Linked DNA regions of Notamacropus eugenii. The protein of the gene in region 1 interacts with the protein of each later gene in a pairwise test. Links are inferred from orthologs where the notes say so. Each region holds a gene or a part of one and is shown on either strand. Other genes may lie near its edges.

Region 1 (7,655 bases):
ATGGGTAAAAACAGATTTGGAAAATATTTTGACAAGAATATATACGATATTAAGGAAACGCAGAGGCCATCACCTTAACGCGACTATGAAAATATTAATACTTCATCAAAAAGAAGAAAGATGATTGGTACATGTTTGTAGAGTATGACAAAATAGTACAAAAACTTAGAGAAATATTTTTGGAGTAAACAAACATCTCTTGACTGAGTAATAATGAAGGCTAACAATAGGTAAAGATCACTGGATTTGTTGAATGTAACCAAAATTGGTTTTCCTCCAGATGGACCCTGTGAAATGGCCAAGACCCAAGACCGGAATCAATAGGCCCTCCATGGGCGACTTACATATAAACTCAGCCAACAGTATGTGGACAAAGACTCATTGAACTGCTGATTGAGTGATGTGAATTTATTTATGGAAATGGAGTAGCTTATGATACCAATTCAGGACCAAGTCATTGGCAACAGAAATTATAGAAAGGTTTTTCTTAAGGAGCCTGAACTTATAGATGAATGCAAATTATGCAAAAAAAAAAAAATTTAGAAACTATGCAATGCATTACTACAAGTTGAAAAAATTTAGCCTCTATCAAACACCTAGCAAAACACAACTTGATGTCTAGAATTATATATCATAAGCTCGCTATCTTTCAAAGACCGATAGATGATTAATAGTAATAATAGCTAACATTTAGATAGTGCTTTAAGCAGAAATGAGTTGGAACCAGTTTGCTCAGGAGAGCCAATTGTTAAATTTTGGATGAGCATTTATACCTTGGAAACCTGCAAACACGACAAATCAGGGCTTGATTTATTGTTTTGATGTTTGACTAGATTTAAGAAGGTGATGCAGGAAATATTAATATACTAGAAATTAAACTTAAAATTATGTGGTGAAGGTAATTTTTCCCTTCAGAAAGCTGGTTGTTAAATATTTACCAACACACCACTGACTTCTCAAGGTGCTTTATTATATTTATTATATTATTTAATTTGATATTCATAGCAACACTGTGAGGTAGGTGCTATTATTGTACCTATTTTACTGATGTGGAAACTGAGATACTCAGAGATGTTGATTGATTTGTCCAGGTTCACTCACCCTGGATACCAGTATCTAAGATGGTACTCAAACCCAGATTTTTCTGACTCCAAGTGCAGTGCTTTACCCATTGTACTATATAGTGCCTCAAAGTATACTTTATCATTTGATGGGTAAGCTGTACTGGAACCACAGCACCATCCCTGACAAAACTGTTGCTCACAATTACCTAGATATAACATTAATCCATAAAAAGTTAAGAATATTATTAATATATTTACCAAAAAATGCTCATAATATTCAAACTATGTGGAATGAAAAGCTTTCAGAACAGATGTAGTTGAAATTAAAACCATGTGGGAACAGGATGAGGTACATATAATCCTCCTTGTCCTATATACTGCTAGAACTAGAAAGACCTGAGTTCAAATCCATCCTCAGACGCTTACTAGCTATGTAATTCTGAGCAGGTCCCTCAACTGTAAAAAGGGAATAATAATAGCACCTACCTTCCAGGGTTGCTGTGAGGATCACATAAGATAATATTTGTAAAATGCTTAGCAAAATACCTAGTATATAGTAGGAAATTAATAAAATGCTTATTCCTTTCCTTATGTTTTTTTTAAGCCAACATATTCTCTATGTTTTCAATGAGCTAGCCGAAGATGAGCTTATATTCTGATACTGTTGGAAGAATAACATTCCTATAATGTTATTTAATTAGAAAAATGTATTTACCCTTCCATGCAACGGTCTGTACAACATTAAATATAAGAGAATAATAAGATAGTGATTTGTTCTAGGTCCATTTTGATTTGAACTCTACAAAAAATATGAGAATGAGGTGATTAATAATAATGCCAGTCAATCAACAAGCATTTATTAAACAAGTACTATGTGAAATGCATTGTGATAAGTGCTGGAGACACAAAGAAAGGCAAAAAATAAAAGAAACAGGGTTTAGTGTGACCTCACATGTAGCCTTGATGGGTTGGGTGAGCTGTGTACTGAGCTAGGTGATAACTACAACAACCCTTATTTTTCTCTGATTACTATTATCTCATTTCCTTATTCAATTTCTACCAAGGTTCTAAGTCGATCAAGGATATATTCTTATATTTCCTCATAAATTAATAGGATTGCACAATCTCACCAATTAATCAATTAGCCTGAGCCTCCACATCCAGTTTACAAATAAGCCAAAAAACCCAAAAACTTTCACTCATTTCTCTCTCTTAATAGCAAACTAAGTTTCATAGGCTTAGGCAAACATCGGTGTTACTGACTATACAATTTATTAACATTGTAACACCCAATTCAAAGATATATTTAGATGTTTGAGCAGCATATCAACCATGAGAAAGAATACATTCCTAGTCATTTTTAACTATTGATTTGCAACTGCTGATTTCTCAATGGACACCGGAAATATCGTTCTATAGTTCCATTCTTTCAACATGGCAGATGAAATCTCTTCTCAGGAAGTATTCTCCGTAGAACAAGAGTTAAACTCAGTTCTCTTAATGTTTTTTCAGGTTCTTTTTCTGATAGCTAATCCACTGAATCTCTCAGAAAGATGTTTTTCTACTCCTTTTGCTCTTTGCCTCACATAGTATCTTTCTAAGCCATGTCAGTTAATTCATTCCAGATGACAGTTATACCATTTCCCCCCAAGATTCTACTTCCTCTTAAAGAGACAGGAAAAGTATCCAGTCTCTCTTGGAAAGTTATTGAAGCTGATATTACAACAATAATCATTTTTAATTTTTTTCTTGTTTTCTTATTTTAATAATATTTTCCCCCAATTACATGAAAAGACATTTTTAAACATTTTTTTAAAATTTAAAGTCCGAAATTTTCTCATGCCTTCTCTCTCCTCTCCCTTTCCTGAGACAGTAAGCAATTTGATATAGGTTATACATGTGCAATTATGCAAAAAACATTTTTTTAAAGATGAGAACAAATAAATTTTTTTTACTGAACCTGTGGTTTCATTAATGTAGGGAACTCCCAGTGAGGAAACTCCCTCCAATATAGATCAGAAACTGTTGCTCTATGTGAGTAACTACAGTTATAGTCTTAAAGAATCAGCTGGGGCACTGAGAGGATAAGCGATTTGCCCAGGATAACATCCAGCTAGTAGATGACAAAACCAGACCTTGAATTCAGGTCTTACTGACTCAGAGGCCATACTGCTTCTCCAGTAATGAGCTGCTATTTACATGGTGTGATAGGATTTGCAAAATCTACAAATTCAACATGATGTGAGTAGGATATGGCACCCACAAAAGTTTATGTGCTCTTAGAAGCCCATGTGATCATGATGTCCAGAACAAGAAAGGTGAAGGTTTCACTGGATCTGATCAGACTATGGTATTTGTGGTATCCAGTTCAGCTTGAAACTATGCCTCTTAAGAATGACATTAACAAATTAAAAACATTTCAGAGGAGTATGCCTGGATAATAAAGGCACCCGGGGATTGGGACATTCAAGGACTGATTGAAAGAAGTGGGGATGTTTAATCTGGAGAGAATTTTTGAGGGAGCATGATAACTGAGGGGTTGTCAGAGGGAGGAGAAGGGTCAGACATTCTGTTGGACCCTAAAGGGTAGAACTGGAAGCAAAGCTGGAAGCAATGAGTGGAAGATTTCAGAGGCATGGTAGCTCCCACATGAGGGGTGAAATCTTAACCCAGAGTCCAAAGTGCAAGACGCCTCTTTATTTAGTGCCCTTGCTTTACTGGAGGTCTGCAAGCGGTGGGTGCATGACCACCTGTGAGGGGGTATCCTAGAGGGGTCTCTTGCTCAGATACAGGTTGAACGAGCGTGTCAGAGTGGACCAGTGCTGGACCAGGACTCTGGAAGACCTGAGTTCAAATCTTGTCTCTGGCACTTGCCCTCTGTGTGACTACGGGCAAGTTGTTGAACCTCTCTGGGTCCCAGTTCTTTAGCCTGTCCAAAATGGGGCTAGTCAGCTTCCCAGGGTTGCAGTGCGGTTTACGGGAGGTAAGGTCTGTCCAGCACTTTGGAAGCTCTGGAGGGCTGGGCTGTTGCTAGCTGTTGGTCATTAGATGAAGTCCCTTGCAGTCCTGAGGTTTGGTGATGCTGTGGCTCCATTCCAGCTCCCTACAAAATTTAACTCTTTCGGTGTATACACCGCAGTTACTTCGTGGACTTGGGGATGTGTTGGGGGGGCGGGGCAGAAGCGTCCTGTGACGCTTCACCTGCAGGGGGCGCTGTCAGCTGGAGGCTCCCCTCTAGGCCGCCCTCGCCATTCTCTATGGTGGTGTCGGCTGTCTGTCGGCCTCTCCCCACCCCCTCCCCTCCTCGCCGCGTCCCCTCCCCCTCTAGGCTCGCTGCTGCGTACGCCCACCCCCGCCATCAGGGGGAGCGCGAGGGCTGCCAGGGTCCGACTCCCTTTTTCTCTTGGAGTTGAAAATTCCTCCCCCCGGCGTGGGCGGAGGGAGCTCGGGAGAGGGAAGAGGAAGAGGAAGAGGAAGAGGAAGAAGGGAGGGGGCGGGGAGGAGGAGCCGGGGGCGCGAGCAGGGGCCGGGACCGGAAGTGTGCGGTTGCCATGTAATATCCTGAGAGCGAGCGCGAGCCAGCGGCGAGCCAGCGGGCGGACGGCAGGACGGGCGGGCGCTGAGGCGGCGCCGAGCGCAGGCGGAGGCGGTTGAGGCGGGCTCGGCCGGGGGCAGCGTCGGGAGCCGTCTGGCCGCCGGGCCGTTTGTCCGTCGCTAGCTGGGTCGGGGCCGGCCGGGAGGTCTGGCTGCGGGAGGCAGCATGTCGGTGGCCGGGCTCAAGAAGCAGTTCTACAAGGCGAGCCAGGTGAGCGGCGCGGGGGCGGACGGACCGACGGACCGACGGGGCCCCGGCCTGGGAGCCCCCGGGGCTGGGGGGGCTTCCGAGGGGGTGCCGAGAGGCCAACCCGGCCCCCACCCCAGGAGGACGGAGGGGAAGGGGGAGGGGGAGGGGAGAGTGACATCACTCCAGATGTGGTGGGGGGGAAGTGACAGCGGTGCAGGGATTGTCCAGAAAGGCCAGTCCTGTCCCGGGATCGTGGTATCAGGATGGGTAGAGCCTGTGCTGGCAGAGAGGTGACTTTGGTCTAGGGGTTGCAATGGCCTATGCCCTTAGAGGATGAAGGGAGCTCTGGAGGGGTGGGGGGAGTCACGTCAGTCCCGAAGTTGTTTTTGGAGGCCAACACTACTGAGCATATGGATAAAACCTCTAGAATAAAATGAAGTTGGGTCCTAGATTGTCCAGGGAGGCTCTTGGAAGGATGGATAGAAAACATGAGAAGTGGCGTAGGTCTAGAGATTGTCTAGAGAGAGGCCAGCGCTATTGGGAATATGGGGAAAACCTTTAGAATAAAATGAAGTTGAGTCCTAGATTGTCCAGGGAGGCCCTTGGAAGGATGGATAGAAAACATGAGAAGTGACGTTGGTCTAGAGATTGTCTAGAGAGAGGCCAACACTATTGAGAATATGGATAAAACCTCTAGAATCAAATGAAGTTGGGTCCTAGATTGTCCAGGGAGGCTCTTGGGAGGATGGATAAGAAGACAGAAGTGGCGTAGGTCTAGAGATTGTCTAGAGAGAGGCCAGCGCTATTGGGAATATGGGGAAAACCTTTAGAATAAAATGAAGTTGGGTCCTAGATTGTCCAGGGAGGCTCTTGGGAGGATGGATAAGAAGACAGAAGTGGCGTGGGTCTAGAGATTGTCCAGAGAGAGGTCAGCACTGTTCTTTCCCTTGGGAGGATGGAGAGTCTGTGCAGTGGAGAAAATGCAGCCAGTGTTTGCCCATTGATACATAGACATTGCCCACTGCCCCAGAAGGATTAATAAAGCCTATTGAAAAAGAAATGAGGTCGAATAAATTTTTCAGATATTTTGGCACATGGTCATGATCCCTGGAAGGTTGGGTAGCACTGGTGGGGGAAAGAGAAATCAGTTCAGAGGTTGTTCTGGGGTGTTGACTTCAATCCACTGCCTCTTGCTTTTCTCAGAGGATAGAAGGGATCTGTGGGGGCACAGAGGCCAAGAGGCATCGTTCAAGAAGGCATAGGTGGACTTATGGTTATTCCTTATGTGGTATGTGTTCGTTCTTCTTTGCCGAAGAAGACCATGCCATCAGAGAAATAATGACATGACTTGCACTTGACTTTGTTTTATGTGAGGGAGGGCCTTACATGGTGGGAGTGTCCTGGAATGCCAACAAGAGGTATAGGGATGTTCTTTTCTTTTACAGAAGGAACACCCAACATAGGTTTTGGGGAAAAGGACATAATAGCCCCTAGAGTTAAGGTTTCTACATAAAGTACCTCTTCTGAGAATGCCCTTTGGGTCTCTCAGGTTGGCAGACTTAACATTTTATTTTAGAGGAGTCTACATTCACGGTTCCAGCCTTGAGAAAACTATAAAGTCCAACTGGATTGTTTAGAATCCAGTATCCATAGACCTTAAATGATGTACTTTCAAACAATTGCCCTAAGAATTTACTTATGTTTGTACATAAACCTGTCACTTCTATTATTTTTGGAGTCTGCTACTATATTTCCTTGATAACCGGTTTGCGTTATTTGTGTGTTTTTCTCATTCTAAACATCAACACCTTTCTTATCCCCCTTCACACTCCCAGAGGAAATGAACTGTTTCCCAGGAGAAACTTCTTCCTGTGTATTTTTGAAGAAGAATTTTGAACTTGGAGACTTATTTCAGTATTTCTAAATTGGAAAAAGAGATGCTGGGTGAATTTGGAAGAGTTTAAAATTGTATATTTTTTAAAAAGCCACTAAAAGCTTGGTTGGGGAACTAAGATTCTGATTTTAATTAAAAACTTTCATTAGTTACACTATTAACCAACTCAAGAAATTCTGCCCCTATTTATCTATTCAAACCTTTCAGGTTCTGTTAAAAATGTATTTAAACTTTGGTATGTTTGCCCCTACTGGAGAGTTTATAAGACGTTTTAGCTTCCTATAATGTAAACTGTCTTTTTCCTGGAATGCCATTATAGGCTAAAGGAATGAAACTTCTTTAGAGCTGTTCTGAGATGAAAACAAGAGGATGGAGAGGAAAAGCAGTAAAATAACCAGCCATCTGTCTGATCACCATCCATTTTGCTCCTCTCTGTTCTGCCTAACAGCTCCCCTTTTTGCTCCCCTTACCATCTGTCTGACCTCTTGTATTTGTCGCACCTCTAGAATTGAAAGAAGGTCTTTATGCATTTTGAGGGCAAGGGGGAACAGAGAGCCCTCCACTGGTGTGGTACCGCAATGTAATTTTGAAACGAATAGAGGTATGTGTTTTTATGAAGTTATTCCCAAGCCTAAATAGCAAGTCTAAGTGACTTACTGATAATTCTTGTGGTTTTTACCATGACAGAGATTTGAGTTAGTACAGAAGACTCCAACTGGCCGTCAGTTGGAATGCAATGAAAGGAGGGAGAGAATTTTCAAAGTAGAAGATGTGTTTAGTCTTAGAAAGGAGAAGTCACTCTTGCCATGATCTTTGGCTTTGAAACTTTTTGAATGTTCTTTAGGCTCTGTTTTGGGTCATAAGCAGTTGGGAAGGAATCCTAAAGGGAGGGCTGAGGAGAAAGGAAGGAGGT
Region 2 (7,800 bases), on another chromosome or scaffold:
TGTGATGAGCAGAGCAGTCAGACAAGCAGAGGGGAACCAAGAGACTGGAGTGTCACAAAAAGCTTAAAGACAGAATACCCAGGGGGAAAGGGTGATAAGCAGTGTCAACAGGCGGGTTGAGAAGAATTAAGACTGAGAAAAAACATCAAAAATTGGACAATTAAGAAGTCACAGATACGGCTGTTTAACTTGAATGAGGAGGCTGGAAGGCTGATTATTAAGAGTAGAGGAAGAGGAGAAAAGAAACAAAGTGTAAATGTCAAGTGTTTTAGAAAGCTTTTCTGAGTTTGAAGTTCAAATTTCTACCCAAGTCAAAACTTGGTGAAGAAACAGAGCTGGGCAAAATAAGAACAAACTTGCTAGTACACCTTGCTATAGACACCCTCCACCTTTCCCCAAAATGTAGGCAGATGGAAGAGTTAAAAGGGCAGGCAACCTTTGAAGCCCAACCAGGATCTCTATGGCTAGCACCTCTAAACCATGCTCCTTTGGGCTTCCTTTGGAAACCCCAGGAAGCATGAAGTAAGTCAGGAAACTGGCACTGGAGGAGTATGAGTACTTTCCCCACCCCAACATTCAAGAGACCTTAGGATCTGCTATGTCCTGCTCCTACTAATGTCACTAAACAAGGCACCAGTGTCTATTTGCATCATAGTATTGTCACTCCAAAGTATTTCCAGTAATTCTGACCCAACACCTGAGCTTTTAAAGGCAAATCAAAGGGGAAGCAACTCATAAAAATTATTGCCAAAGGAAGACTACAGAAGACAAGTAGGGAAAAGGCCTATGTACATAGCAGAGTGCTGAATGAGAGAGAAGATATATATTAGCATAATCATTCTCCAAAAGTACATCATCAAAAATTTGGGACCAGTAAAAATATATCATAGGTGACAATTTAAACACCGTCTTTAAAGGTGACCCTAACTCACTACTCTTGGCAGTGACTGGAAATCTAAGCCAGAGGATTCCTTAACTTTCACAAAGTATGCTCTTTCAAGGTTACCACATCATCACCCCCATCCCTCCTCAGCAAACTACCCCTCCCCAAGCTAAAGCCACCAAGCACTATCCACTCCATCTAAACTCAACAAGATGTGCCGTTGGACCCTCATTTAGGAAGTAGCTCAGTATACTAAGTATACTTAGAAATTCTAAGTATACTTAGAAATCACTTTTAAGGAAAATCTCCAAGCTTCCAAGGTAGTCTAAATATCAGCTAAATGTTTCAGGAGTAGTTGAAATATTCTCAAATGGGCAATAAGCAATCCTAAAGTTCCCCATTAACCTAATGGGCAATCCTGTCATGCACCCTCTCTACCACAAACAAGACAAAAACGTAAGAACTCCCTCTGTTCCTCAATACACCTTCCCAGATAGACCTTACCACCCTTCCCAGCTTCACTGCAAGAAAATGATTCTAATAGAACCTATTCCTGAAAAAAAGGACACCTTTCCCTCCAAAAAAATTCCAACACCAACTGCCCCCATCACTAAAACTAAAGAATCCATTCCCTCGATGCATTTTGCTCCTACCAAAAGGTTCCCCAAAGGCCAAAATCCAAAAGAAGAGCTGTAGTAGTGCTGTCCCCATAGTAGATCCCATTCTTTTTGCTACCTAGGTCGCCCTACACCTCCCTTTCATCACAAAGTGAAACTCAGATCATCACAAAGCACCCTATACACATATTTCTAAAAACAAAAACAAAACACACACACAAACCCAGAAGCACCACTCCCCCACCACCTCCACTCCCCACCCCCCCTCCAGCCCATGCCTGCCACTTTCTTACCTTTCATATGCCAACAATTCTAGCCCCACCTTTAGCTCCGAACTTTGGCAGGTATCAAATATCCCCCATTCTGGCTCCCCGCCCCCCCAATAATATTCATAAAACTGTAAGAAAGACGAGCTCATTCCGAAAACAAGATACAGATGACCAGGGGGCATCCACAGCTTCACTCTAACCACCCGGAGTCACTCACTGACTCTCCCTCCCCCAGGCCCAACATTCTCAACAGCCAGTCCGAATGTTCGCCCCCCGGGGGGTGGGGAGATGGAGGGGCCCGGGAAGGACAGAGGCCCTCCGGATGGAGGGAGAGGTGGCTAAGATGGGAGCCGGACGGCCTGGAATGGGGGATGAGGTTCAGACCCGGCACAGGAGGCGGGATGGGGCAGCGATGGCTGGGGCCCAGGGCGGAGGGGAGGAGGATCTGGGCGCTGGCCGTGAAGGCCCGGCGGGGCCACACGGGAAAGGAGGCGAATGGAATCCAGGCCGGGCGAGCGGCCGGGGGGAGGGGAGGAGCGGGGAGCAGCAAAACCTGGGGCTGGGACGAGTGGAACGCGGGGGAGGCCCAGGGCAGGTCGGGGCTGGCCTGGCTAGAGGACGCGCTGGGTCGGGAGCCGATTCGGGCTCTGCCCGAAGCTGGGCGGGAGGCCGCGGGGCGGCAGGGGCAACGAGGAGGGGGGCTCACCTCCGACCCTGTACATGTTGGCGGCCATGTCGGGCTCCGGCTCGGGCTCCGGCTTTGGGGGCGCAGCGCGGCACACGGGGGGCTCAGAGGCCTGGCCTGGCCTGGCCTGGCCCGGGCCCGACGCTCGGGGTTCGCAGGGTGGCGCGGCGGCTCCTCCAGGTGGGGGAAATGTGCTGGAAAATGGAGGATCGATCGGCTGGGGTGGGGGCGGGGGCGGACGCTTTAAAGGGGCCGCGCTTGGTCCACCCGGCGCTGCCGCCGCCACCGCCGCCGCCCGAGGCCAATGGGGAGGGGGAGGCCCTAGAGACCCATGGGAGTGGGCTGGTCGGCTCCCGGCAGCTCCTCACCCTTCTGCTTGTCCACTCCCCACAAACTGTCCCCTTCCTCCCTCCTCAGTCTTCTTCCTGCCCCTCCCTCCTCGTCTCCCCTACCCTCTTCCCGGCCTCCCTGGCCTCTCTTCTCTCTACCGCCTCTCTCCCCTCCCTTCCCCTACCTTCCTCTCTTCTCTTCTCTCCTCCACCTCTCTCTGTGTGTCTCTCTGGGTCTCTCGCTCTCTCGCTCTCTGCCTTCTCTTTTCTCTCCTTCCTTTTCCCCCCTAAACAGGCAGGCACAAAGAAAGCAACCACAACTCCACCTACCTGGCCAAAGGCTGGGGCCTCCTGTGTGCCCCCGCCTGTGCCAAGTCTGTGGCTGGGGTCTCTCCTGCAGGCAGGAGAGCTCTACTTTCCAGGCAGAAAGGAAAGGATAGACCGAACCAGGCCAAGTGTGCATGGCCTCTCAAAATTCATTCATTCATTGGACAAAATTCTGTGTGCTGGGTGCAAGGCCCTGTGCTGGGGCTGAGGTAGACAAAGATGGAAAAAAAACAAAAAGGGCCCTGACCTCGCAGAGCTCAGCTTAATGAAGCATGAATAAGACCAGATATAATACTGTACCAAGAGAGAATCTAATCAAGGCTTTAAGAGAGGAACACATTCCCAATGCACAAAGCAGGATTCATTGTCATATTAGCAACTAATATGTCAGAGAAAGAAAGGAAAAAATAGAATCCCTTTAGCCAGCCTAATTCATTCCAAAGAGTAAGGAGGTTTAGGTTTCACCTTAAGCTTAGGTTAGTGACCACCCACTCTCCCTTTCCTCTAAGAATGATTCAGGAGGAACATTTGTTTAAGAAGGAAAATATCTTTGTAATTCATAGCTTATGACTCATGATCTTAGAGGTGAAAAGGACCTTTTTAGATGTACGATTCTCTCTGGGACAGAAACAGAAATCCCCTCTGAAATGCCCCTGGTAGGTGATGATCCTCTCAAAGACCTCTCGTTAGTGGATAAGAATTTATGAAGCTCCAATGTCAAGCACTGCAGTAAGCACTGCAAATACAAAGAAAGACCAAAAGATAGACACAGCCCTCCGAGAGCTCACAAGTTAATGTGAGAGACAACAAGCAAATGTATACAAACAAGATATATACAGGTAGGAAATAAGTAACAAATGGAAGGCACTAGAGTTAAGAGGAATTGGGAAAGGCTTCCCGTAGAAGATGGAATTTTAATGAGACTTGAAGGAAGCTAGGAAAGTCAGAGGCAGAGATGAGGAGGTAGAGAATTTCCAGGCATGGAGAACAGCTAAAGAAAATGCCTAGAGCTGAGAAATAGAGTATCTTGTTTGGAGTGTCTTGTTCATGGAAAAGCAAAAAAGCCAATATCACAAATTGAAGAGTAAGTGTAAAGTATAAGTCTAAAGTATAAGAAGACTGGGAAGGTGGGAAAAAAGGGGGTAGGTTGTGAAGGACTTTGAACACCAAATAATTTCATATTTGATCCTGGAGGTGATAGGGAAGCACTGGAGTTTTTTGAATGGGGGGTGGTGGGGAAGGGTGATATGGTTGGACCTTTACTTTAGAAAAATCACTTTTTCCTCTGAATGTAGAAAGGGCCTAAATGGGAATGCCTTTTGCCAGGCAGACCCATCAGCAGTTTATTGGAAAAGTCCAAATGTGGGGTCATGAGGGCCTGTACCTGGGTGGTGGCAATCTCAGAGAAGATAAGAGGATAAAAGGTACAATGGACAGGTCTTGGCAACAGATTGGTTATAGATTGTGAGAGACAGTAAGGAGTGGAGGATAGCTTCTAGATTGCTGCAAGCCTAAGTCACTGGGAGGATGGTAGTCATAGGGCAGTATTAGGGAACAATAATAGAGAAGAGGTATTGGGATAAGGGAAGAGTTTAGAGGGAAAGCTATGAGTTCTGTTTTGGATATGATGCATTTAAGATGTCTGCTTGACATTCAGTTTGAGATGTTTGAAAGGCATTTGAATATTCAAATATTCTAGAGGTCAGAGTTGGATACCTATCTGATGAGAGAATCATCAACATAGAGATGATAACTAAATCCACATGAGCTGATGAGACCACCAAGCGAAGTAGTATAAAGAGAGAAAAGAGGATCCAGGATGTTTCGCTATGGGAAACCTACAATTAGAGGGTATGATTTAGATAAGAGTTTCAGCAAAGAAGGCTGAGAAGGAGCAGTCAGAAAGGTAGGAGGAGAAGAACCAGGAGAAAATTGTGTCCCAAAAAACTAGAGAGAAGATAAATCAAGGAAAAGAGGGTGATTGATAGTGTCAAAGGTTTCAGAGAGGTAAAGAATATATATTTAGAAAAGATCAGTAGATTTAGCAATGAGGAGATCTCTGGTGAATATGAGATTGGAAGCCAGATTGTAGGGGATTAAGAGAAAGGTAAGAGGAGAAAAGTGAAGGCACCCATTGCAGATGATTTTCTCAATGAGTTTAGACACAAAGGGTAGGAAAATACAGGATGATATCTAGTAGGGATAGAAGGATCAAGTGAGGTCTTTTTGAAGATGATGGAGACATGAGCACATTTGTAATCAGTAGGGAAGGAACCAACTGACAAGGAAACACTGAAGATAAATGAAAGAGTAGGGATGAGAGAACTGGCAGTCTTTTGGAGAAGACAGGATGGAATGGGATTAGAGGGACACCTTTTTTTAAGACAGATGAAGGAAGATATAGTGACAGAAGGCATGTATAGAAGATGAAAGAAAGGAGAGAAATAGTTCATGATGAATGGCTTCAATTTTTTCTATAAAATATGTATCCAATGCAGTAGATAGGTCAAAAGGGATATGGATTGAAAAAAGAACATTATTGCATTCACTGGTAACTTTGGAAAGAGAATTTCAGTGTAATGATTATATCAAAAGCCAAATAATAAAGAGTTGAAAAATTAATCAATTTGAGAAATGAGAAAGTGGAGGAAAAGAGTGTAAGAGTGTGAGAAAGGAAGGAGAGATAAAGAGTATTAGTTTGAGGAGATAGAAGGGTCTAGTGAAGGTTTCTAAAGATGGAAGAGACTTGGGTACGTTTGAAAACAATAGGAAATGAACAGATAGGGGAGTTTCTTAAGATTAAAAGAGAGAAAGAGGACTGTTGAAACTGAAAAATCTTCTAGAGAAAATGAAAGGGGATGCGTCTTATAGAAAGAATTGGCCTTAACAAGGAGAAAGACCACTTTATTGTTGAAGATTAGAGAAAAAGGAAAAGAGATGATACCAAGGTTTTGGGTTTTTTTAGAAAAAGAGAAGGTTTTAATGCTGAAAGGCCTCGATTTTCTTAGAAAAGTAAGAGGTAAAGTCTTCAGCTAAGAAAGAAGGAGGAGGGAAACATATGGGAAGCTTAAGGAGAATAAGAGAACTTGACAAAGCATGTGTAGAAAGTGAAGGAATCATTTAGGGAGGAATAAAAGGATTTCCTTGCTAATGTGAGGACCTGGTTGAAGTTGTATAACAATAGTTTATAATGTACCCTCTCATGAGATAAGCTAGAAGCCTTTCCAATAAGATTAGAGGTGAAGCAACAATTCCATTATTGTTATTATTTGACATTGTACTGAAAATACTAGCTATAGCAATAAGACAAGAAAAACTGAAAGACAGGCAAAGGAGCAGGACTACAACCAAGAATCACCTAACAGGCAAAATTAAACATAATAATATTTCAAGGGAAAAAATGGTCATTCAATGAAATAGAATTTCAAACTTTTATAAGGAGAAGACCAAAATTGAACCAAAAAAATGTGATCTACAATATCAAGACCCAAGAGAAACCTAGAAAAGGGAAAAGAAAACATAAGGGATTCAATAGAACTAAACTGTTTATATATCCCTACCTTGGAAGCTGATACTTGTAATTCATAAGAATTCTGTCACTACCCATCAATTGGGGAATGGCTGAACAAATTGTGGTATATGATTATGATGGAATACTATTGTGCTGTAATAAATGATGAGCAGGATGCTCTCAGAAAAACCAGGAAAGAGTTGCATGGACTGATGTTAAGTGAAATATGCAAAGTACAAAGTAACAGCAACATTGTAAGATGATCCGCTGTGAATGACTTAGCTATTCTCAGCATTACAATAATCCAAGACAACTCTGAAGGACTTATGAGGAAAATTCTATCCATCCCCAGAGAAAGAATTGAATACAGTTCTGAATACAGATTGAAGCATTTTAAATAATATAATCAACAAGTTAAAAAAAAAAAACTCTACCACTAATAGTAAAACTAGAAGGAATATATATAGAGGGCATGGGTATGAGGTGAATTTGAGGGAATGACAAAAAAAACTAAGGGATGGGAAAGAAGAATATACTGGGTGCAGAAGGAAGGGAGAGGTAGAATGGTAAATTGATTCACTTGAAGAGGCATGAAAGACTTATTACAGTGGAAGGGAAGATGGGAGAATGGGTGATAGGGATTACTTAAACCTTACTCCCATCAGAAGTGACTCAAAGAGGGAATAATATACATAATCAGTTGAATATAGAAATCTATTTTACCCAACAGGGAAAGGGAAGTTGGGAGGAAATCAAGTAAAAGGGGGAGAGTTGGGGACCAACAGAAGTGGGGGCAGATTGGGAGAGGCATAAACAGAAACAAAACACTGGTGAGAAGGGAAAGGGTGAGATGAAAGAGTACAAACAGGAGGAAAAATAAGATGGAGGGAAATTCACAGTAATCACAACCATGAATAGGAATGGGATGAACTCCCACAAAATGGAAGCTAACAGCAGAGGGAATAAAAAAACAGAATCCTACAATATCTTGTTTAAAAAAAAAGACACTTCAAGCAAAGAGATACACACAAGGTAAAGGTAAGGGGCTGAAGCAGAATCTAGCGTGCTTCAGCCAAAGTAAAGAAAAAAAAGGCAAGTGTGGTGATTCTGATCTCAGACAAAGCAAAAGTAAAGATAGACCTAATTAAAAGAGATAAGGAAGGAAAACTACATCTTGCT

Evidence for each region.
Region 2: the proteins of SH3GL1 (region 1) and MTA1 interact in binary tests that used the Homo sapiens proteins (3 or more experiments, as listed by UniProt). The two-hybrid records come from large-scale screens. The link is inferred for Notamacropus eugenii from reciprocal best matches to the Homo sapiens genes SH3GL1 and MTA1.

Annotation. Positions count from the first base shown.
Region 1 is NC_092875.1:71,633,761-71,641,415, reverse strand, and holds the start of SH3GL1 (endophilin-A2), read left to right. Parts: upstream 1-4,606; 5' UTR 4,607-4,824; coding exon 4,825-4,869; intron 4,870-7,655. UniProt on the Homo sapiens protein: Implicated in endocytosis. May recruit other proteins to membranes with high curvature.
Region 2 is NC_092872.1:324,142,631-324,150,430, forward strand, and holds the start of MTA1 (metastasis-associated protein MTA1), read right to left. Parts: upstream 3,047-7,800; 5' UTR 2,969-3,046; intron 2,858-2,968; exon of another isoform or gene 2,649-2,857; 5' UTR 2,504-2,648; coding exon 2,476-2,503; intron 2,299-2,475; exon of another isoform or gene 1,801-2,298; coding exon of another isoform or gene 1,794-1,800; intron 1-1,793. UniProt on the Homo sapiens protein: Transcriptional coregulator which can act as both a transcriptional corepressor and coactivator. Acts as a component of the histone deacetylase NuRD complex which participates in the remodeling of chromatin.